Linked DNA regions of Bombyx mori. The protein of the gene in region 1 purifies or fractionates together with the protein of each later gene. This does not show direct contact. Links are inferred from orthologs where the notes say so. Each region holds a gene or a part of one and is shown in the gene's direction. Other genes may lie near its edges.

Evidence for each region. The genes of interacting proteins can lie anywhere in the genome.
Region 2: the proteins of E3 SUMO-protein ligase RanBP2 (region 1) and nuclear RNA export factor 1 purify together in Drosophila melanogaster (affinity purification with western blotting; 3 studies listed by BioGRID, with this or other methods). This does not show direct contact. The link is inferred for Bombyx mori from reciprocal best matches to the Drosophila melanogaster genes Nup358 and sbr.

Annotation. Positions count from the first base shown.
Region 1 is NC_085121.1:11,012,730-11,016,888, forward strand, and holds the start of E3 SUMO-protein ligase RanBP2, read left to right. Parts: upstream 1-1,200; 5' UTR 1,201-1,434; coding exon 1,435-1,503; intron 1,504-1,578; coding exon 1,579-1,804; intron 1,805-3,104; coding exon 3,105-4,159. Other genes in the region: transcription initiation factor TFIID subunit 6, read right to left, coding at 89-325. UniProt on the Drosophila melanogaster protein: E3 SUMO-protein ligase. Component of the nuclear pore complex (NPC), a complex required for trafficking across the nuclear envelope.
Region 2 is NC_085124.1:4,534,165-4,537,823, forward strand, and holds part of nuclear RNA export factor 1, read left to right. Parts: intron 1-743; coding exon 744-780; intron 781-901; coding exon 902-1,149; intron 1,150-1,919; coding exon 1,920-2,088; intron 2,089-2,666; coding exon 2,667-2,831; intron 2,832-3,659. UniProt on the Drosophila melanogaster protein: Mediates the export of the majority of mRNAs from the nucleus to the cytoplasm. In ovarian follicle cells, plays a role in transposable element silencing regulation by enabling the nuclear export of flamenco (flam) transcripts and subsequent piRNA biogenesis.

The DNA of each region.
Region 1 (4,159 bases):
AAAAAAAATATTGTTAATTTATCATAGGAGACCATGGAACACTTAAAGCCATATTTAAATATTGCTTTAACTGCAGATATTAAAATACCTCATTGTTTTTTATCTTCAGGGCATGATCTATATCTGTAATGGAAAGTTTTTGTCTCTTTGAGTGATGCATGAACTTCATGGCATCTTGAACAATCACTTTCAAGCGATATGTAACATCATCAGCGAGTTCCTTAGCAGCGTCATCGCCAAGAGTGGCGATACCAACACTCTCTGCTATCACTTTCATGGAATCCAACGTTAACGAAGATCCATAAGCCAATTCTGAGTCGCCCATGATAGAAATTAAATCTATAAAAAAATAAGGTTGTGGTTTATGAAAGTTGTTAAAGTTCTCAATTCAATCAAAGGGAGCATATGAATACCTTTAAGATACGTTGACTACAGCATTAAACAATGATTTATCACCAAATTGGTTACGATTACGATAGACCCCTTGTATCACTGTATTCTTTGGGTTAATCTTTAATTTTTTATTCCTGCTTTTTTCTGATATTTTCCTGTTGTGATAAGGTAAAGTTAATTAATGTAGATAAGTAGGTAGGTATGTACCTGTGTACCCTAATTTATTTACTATTTGGATACAAGTAGACATTCTACCATAGATTTTTTTGGTACAACATATTCTTCTTCTTAGTTTTTGGATCCGGCACGTTTGTGCATTAGCCAGCGTCAAGTAATAAGATTTTTAGGAATCGCCGTTTTAAGTAGGTATTTACAGTTTACGAATAATAAAAAACGAAGGAAACTTAATCAATTGGCATGAAATGCTGCTTATGCTGCCCATGCTCTATTATTTGTCTTGAGTGTGAAAAAACTGGATGAAGCTATTTTATGCCAATACTATGGACATGTCACACCCAAAATTAAAACTACGGTCTCATGCCATAAGATGGGTGTAGATTATAATGTCTATGGGATCAAGTTGAGTGCATGAGCTAAGGATTGCGTAATTTATGATTTTTTTATTAAGCCAAGTAAATTTTATGACAACAAATAGAAACCATATTTTTTTACATTTTTAAGCATTGCTTTATAAAATTGTTCAGTAATGCATGCCACAGAAAAGTATTCCAGAAAATGAACAGTTATGAAACAAACATTTTTAAATTTGTGGTACATTTTGAGCTCATTTTTAGATCTAGCAATTTTTTGCTCTATAACTGACGACATATTGACTTTTGACGGCATTCCAATTTCTATTCGTTATTATTCATTTTGCCAACCATTTCAAAGAGAATAAAGGTAATCAATATAACCAACCATAGCTTCGCGTTCGATTACGGGCATTTGCAGCCTCATGCGCTTCAAGTTGTAATATTATTTTCAAAAGGTCTAGTTTTGTAAATAAGTGACTACTATCGGTTAGACGGAAAAATCGTTAAAATGTATAGAAATAAAAAAGACGTTGATAAGCACGTCGAAAATTTGCTGAACAAAATATCTTCGAGAGAGGTTGGTAGTTGGTGTTCAAATCAAGTATTACGCTTATTGACAAAGTTTTTACCATCGATATTTGGTTATTTTCAGTTTAAAAGTCGTGCTTATTCCATCGCTCGGTTGTATTTTGAAGTTGGCGATTTTGCGAATTGCCAAAAATATGTTGAGCAATATCTTACTCAAAAAGATAACAATGCAGCGGCTTATAAACTTCTCGGACAAGCTTTGCAGAAGATAGGACAAAAAGAAAAGGCTTTAGAACAATACAAAACTTCCCTGGACATTGACCCAGCCCAGACAAGCACTATTCTAGACAGTAAGTCTTACTAAAATAATATTTAATTTACAATTTATCATATAGCTACTTTACTAGGTTTGTTAATATTAAAACCAAAATCTTCTATTAAGCCATTTTTATGTGCAGTATTCTTATATATATTTATTTATATTTATGTGAAAATTATATTCTTAGTTATATTCTTTTTTTCTATCAGTAAGTGTGTTGGTGGTAGTACTATGATTAATTTATTTCCTTAGATGATTCTTGTCAGCTTGGAAGAGGTCATATTTAGTAATAAGACTGCATAAGCATAAGTACAATACATTGTTTGATTTTTTGTTTTTCTTTTGATTTTATATTGTTTTGCAATAAAGAATACTCTATTATTATCATGTATATAATAAACTACATAATATAATATTTTGTATGTTGTTAATAGGTATGTATTCATTTGTAGCTATTGTATAGTTTGAAGTTGTTATACCCGAAAAGATAAAATTCTTGAATGACTTCCACAATGCAGGAACACACTAACTTATAAAATCAACTAAAATTAGGTTTTGCTATACAAATGAGATATAGACCACAAGTCTTAAGATCTGGCCTCTCATGTCTAGAAGCTCTAGTAACCACTTAACACCAAGTGGGTCATGAGCTTGTTCATTCTTTATTAGGCTTGATTGATTGATCATGATTAGGCAAGTACTCACACATGACTAAATACAGTTTCAGATCAACTTTTCTAATTTATTATAAAAAAAAGAATAATATTCCTAACCTAAAAGTACATTTTATTATCCGCAACACGCTTCGTCAGATTACAGAAATAGAGTTATCAGCAACATGCTTCGTCAAAAAGTACAATACTTACTTTCAGTTACAAGCGTCGTCATAAGTAATACATAGGTCCACATATAGGTTTCAGATTGTATGATGCCTATTTCATATCACCTGATGTATAAAATATGTGTGTTGTGATTATTTTCATTCAGTGTGAATTGACCTGACCATTACAAGTAATAAAACCTTGCCATTGTTTACCTTACGTGCACTGCTTCACGTCAGATCTGTTTTGAATATTATACAAAACAATAAACTACAAGTGGCTGAAGGTCTAGTATAACCAGCCACTTTAATGCAATAAAAAAAAAACTAAGATAAATTAATTAATCCACCAAAAAAATAGTGGCAGTCAGCATAGCTTTTCCATCTGTATAATCATCTGTATTCCCTCTGTTATAATTGATTGACTTGTCTAAATTATAAATAATGGTCAGGAAGATCATAATTGATGTTTTAACACCATTTAAATGAAATATAAAAATACTTGTTTCAGTTTGTGAACTTCTAGCTGATTATGATGTGGAAATAGAACCTGGACGTGCAAAATACTGGTGTGAAAAAGCAGAAGCAATATTCCCTAGACACCCTGTTACTTTTCGACTCCGTGAAAGACTTCTATCCTTGCAAAATCCAAATCCTGAAGCACTAGTCAAATTAATAACCACAGAATTGGCAATAAGACCAAAAGATGCACAACTTCATGCACGTTTAATAAAACATTATATTAGCACAAATAAATTAAAAGAAGCTTTTGAACACAGTTGCAATATTGAGTTTGGTGAAAATTTTTTCATGAGTAATTATGCTTGGTATGAAATTTTAGCCAATCTTGTGGTAAATAGTGGAATTAACCATAATGAATGGCTGTACCAGTTATTGCTTTTAACTGTTAGAGAACGTTTGTGTGTCTTAAGTTTAACTGAAACACCAAGTGGTACATCAAAAAGCTTAGTAGAGTCACAAGAGTTTCTACAAGCCTATGATCAGTCAATTGAAATAGTTGCAAAAACAGGTCCTAGTCCTGGCCATGGAGATTTTCATGCAAGTTTGCTTCAACATCATAAAGGACAATTTAGCTTACATGCTGCTACACTGTTACTGAAGAGGGCAAAGAAAGACCAGTTGAATTGGAGAGATGCTGTAAAATATGCTGCACCATTGATGTTAATAGCATGGCAAACATTACCACTTGATCCAAAAGTAAACTGGGTTAAACATGCCCCAGAAAAACAGTCAAATGCAGTTAGACGGTGGTTTTCTGAAGGAACATACAGGTGCTCTCAAGCAGGTCATTATCTTTTGTCAAATATTCAAGATAAGAATCAAAAATTAGATCAAATATCACATACACTTGTTGGAACAACTTGGAGGGAAACAATCTATGAAAAAATTTTTAATAAAAGAAGTCAATTGGAACTAATTAAATCTTCATATTTTGCATCAGACGCTTATAAACCTCCAGTTTTAAGACTACCTCGCAAAATTGAAGTTGAAGCATATGATGATGATGCTCAAAAAGTATTTGGAAATTCACTACACCATTATGTG
Region 2 (3,659 bases), on another chromosome or scaffold:
CTTTACTATTTTAATTTTATTTGAGGTTACCCTGCATCCTGTGTACTATCACTCCGTATAACCTTTTTGTCAAAATAATTCTCAATATTAGAGGCATAAATAACATCTGATATCCATCATTACTAACTTGAGCATCGCAAATAGATGGAAAGGTTTTTTTAAATAATTCATCTAAAAATAGTTCCAAAGAATCATTTTTGACAGAAATATATTATTATATTAATATGTATATATTTTTTAAATAGTATATATTACCTCTTTACCTCCAATATTGAGGTTTAAATTTGAATTATATAATTTTAAGCAATAATTCAAATAAAAATAATTATCTATTTAGTTTTTATTAAATAATGCACACAAACACAACATTGAAGCACATTTGTTTACAACACTTTATAAAAGTAAAAGTATGTAAACAGTGTTTAAATAATACTTGCTACAAAAACTGTTTACTACTATTTAGAGTTTATCTGTGTGACATGTATTTTCATTAAATAAAAATCAAAGAGTAAAAAAACTAAGCAATTATTTTTCCCTAATTATACATTTGATATTTTTGAACAAGTTTTTCACTTAATGTTATGATGTCTCACAATAGAAATTTCAATATCTAAATAATTATTGTTAACAAATCTGCTATCATGTAATCTCAATAAATGAAAAACATTTTGTGTGTTTCTTAACGATTATGAGTTTCAGAGTTCAAATTTGAAACATGTTTCCATAATGTTTGTTCTCTCCAGTGATGTCCGGAAGAAGTTTCCCAAGCTGACAAGATTGGTAAGTCTTTTTTTTATTTTCCGACTTATGTTTATGCTTTACTATTTGTTGCAGTTTATATAATCTCATCACGCCTATTGATTCAACATTGTAAATAAACATAAAATTAAAAAAAAATTAGGATGGCGCGGATCTTCCACCGGCTATTGGATTCGACGTAGCTGAAGATATGGGACTTCCCCCTCGGCAACAATCGTTCCTGGTAGACCCGGCGGGTCAGGATCTTGTCAGGGAGTTTCTCACTCAATACTATGCGATATACGACTCGGAATCTCGGCAACCACTTCTAGAGGCGTACCATGAAAATGCTACAATGTCGATGGCTGCAAATTATTTAACTAATGACAGCAGGAATTCTACGACAACTAGGTGTGTAATATTTATTTAAATTTGATAGATTTTAATTCTGTTTGAAATTTGCAATGTTATGTATATGGGTTTTAGTAACCGTCTACCATGTGGGTCGTGAACTTGATGCTACGCATCTTTTTATATTTGAACACGTGCAGCAAAAAATTTTAGGAAAATTGTGCGGACGAAGGAGTATGAAATTTCCCACACTTTTCCAAAACATTGCACACACTACCATGTATTTGACACACACACACACAATAATATTCTTTGTTTAAGATCAAACTTTTGTAATTGCTTAAAGTCTGTAGTGAAATTGAGAATAGGTTATTATTGTCAATCTTTAATATTATTTGTCTATAGTGTATTTTTAGCGAAATCTGTGATTAAAGAAGTCTTTGACAATAGAACCATAATAATGTTCAAACATATAATTTCAATTAATTAAAGTGGAATTTGGACCACTGCGGGACCACTGGTATATATATAAAAACACCCAAGACTTAAATCGGTAATTAGTGAGTCAATAAATAATATCTAAATAAATGTGTGAAGTTAGACTAACTTTTTGGGGACGATTGTCGAAGTCAAACTTGACATCCTCTGCTAACTCTATCAGAGGATGTCTTTAGACTGTATTAGTTACGATATTTGTCACGATTTCACAGGCACATCTCGTAACTACATTAAAACGGAGTCGAGCACGATTTTCCATCAACAAACAAATATACACTGCTAATTCTTTTAACTGCTTTTAAGTATTTGAGAAAAATATTTTTTAATTACAGGTTAAACTCTTACATATCGAACAGCCGTAATTTAACCCGAATAACAGAAAGGGAGTCGAGAAGGCGTTACCTACGTACCGGAAAGCTGCAAGTAGTCTCCTTTCTATCAGATCTGCCAAAAACAACACACGATTTAATGGGTTTTGCTGTCGACTTACTAGTCTTTACTGTAAGTTTTGACTGTTTTATTTATACATGTTTATCTACATTTAGTCTGGTAGGCAGATGTGTGAATGACCTGTCTAGTGTCAGTAACTGTCCGCTACTGTACTGCTTTGAAGTGATACCCAATCTTTTGAAATGTACCATTATTCTATATTCTATATTCTTATTTCTAACTCTCCGAAGAATTCGTTTTTGAGTTCCTTATATTATGTTGAATAAATTTTGTAAGGTAGTTTTATTGAAATACTGCCTAATTTCAATATATCATGTATTGTAACTTTAAATTCCATTACTTTAAATAAAAACAATGTATTATAGATGTTAGATAAGGATATTTATAAATTGAAAAAAAAGTGTTAAGAAAAACAAACATTAAACACATATAATATGCACAAAAAAATGGTGTATGAAACACAGAAAATGACCTAATACTCCAGAAATTAATATTTACAGGATAGTAATATAAAGTATGTATATAAAATTTTTAGTGTCCTAGAATACCAACTAATAAAAAAAAAATATAGCTCAGTCTCAACCTTAAGCTAGCTAAGACTAGGTAAATTGTTTTTTTTTTGTCTACAGCCGGCCATGATCGTCCTTACAATGAACGGTGTGTTCAAAGAAACGAACACTCCCAATAACCCGATGCGTTCGTTTCATCGGACGTTCGTGATAGTTTCAAATGCGAATGGCGGCTTCTCAATCATCAACGATATGTTATATATCACGAATACTACTAAAGAACAGGTTAGTGACCATTAACAAATGAATTATATGAAAATTAAGTTTGAAACACCTGTGCCTAATTAAATTCTGATTGATTCAAGTCTAATATAATTATTGCTTTAATGAATGTTGCGAGCATGCATGCAATAAAAAATACATTACGCACACTACCATGTGTTTGACAAACACACATATGAGTCGTCTATTATCAAAGCCGGCAATCTGACTTTTGGACAATGATTGGTAAATCAGAAAAACGAATTATTGGCTTTGTATTCCATTGGCAGTCACAAAACTCTTCGGAACGACATCTTAGATAAATAACAGGGTAACTATTAACCTTTATTTAATGCAAGTTTTGAACCGTATTCTTTGAAGGAGACGATTATATTCAAATCAATCTGAATTGACATATCAATAAAAAAAAATTGTCCAAATGCACAGATTGCCACCTTTGATAATAGACGACTCATATATACTCTTTGGTTTATTGTTAAAGCTTGTGTTCAAATTGGAAAGAGATTAATATTGTTTGTCTTTAATATTATTTTTCTATAGTGTAGTCTTGGCGAAATCTGTGATTATAGAAGTAGTATGTAGTAGAAGTCTGACAATAGAACCATAATAATGTTCAAACTTATAATTTCAATTAAATATAGTCGACTACCTACTTTGGGTATATGTAGGTAGGTAGGTAGGTAGTATACTATAATATGTATGGATGATGATGAAACATAATTTTCATTAATAAGTATTAGAGGCTAGTTACCACAACTGTACGACGGAGCTCCATCTTTGCTTTAGACTTTTATGATTAGCTAGATAGCGCATTATCTAATATTAATTAAA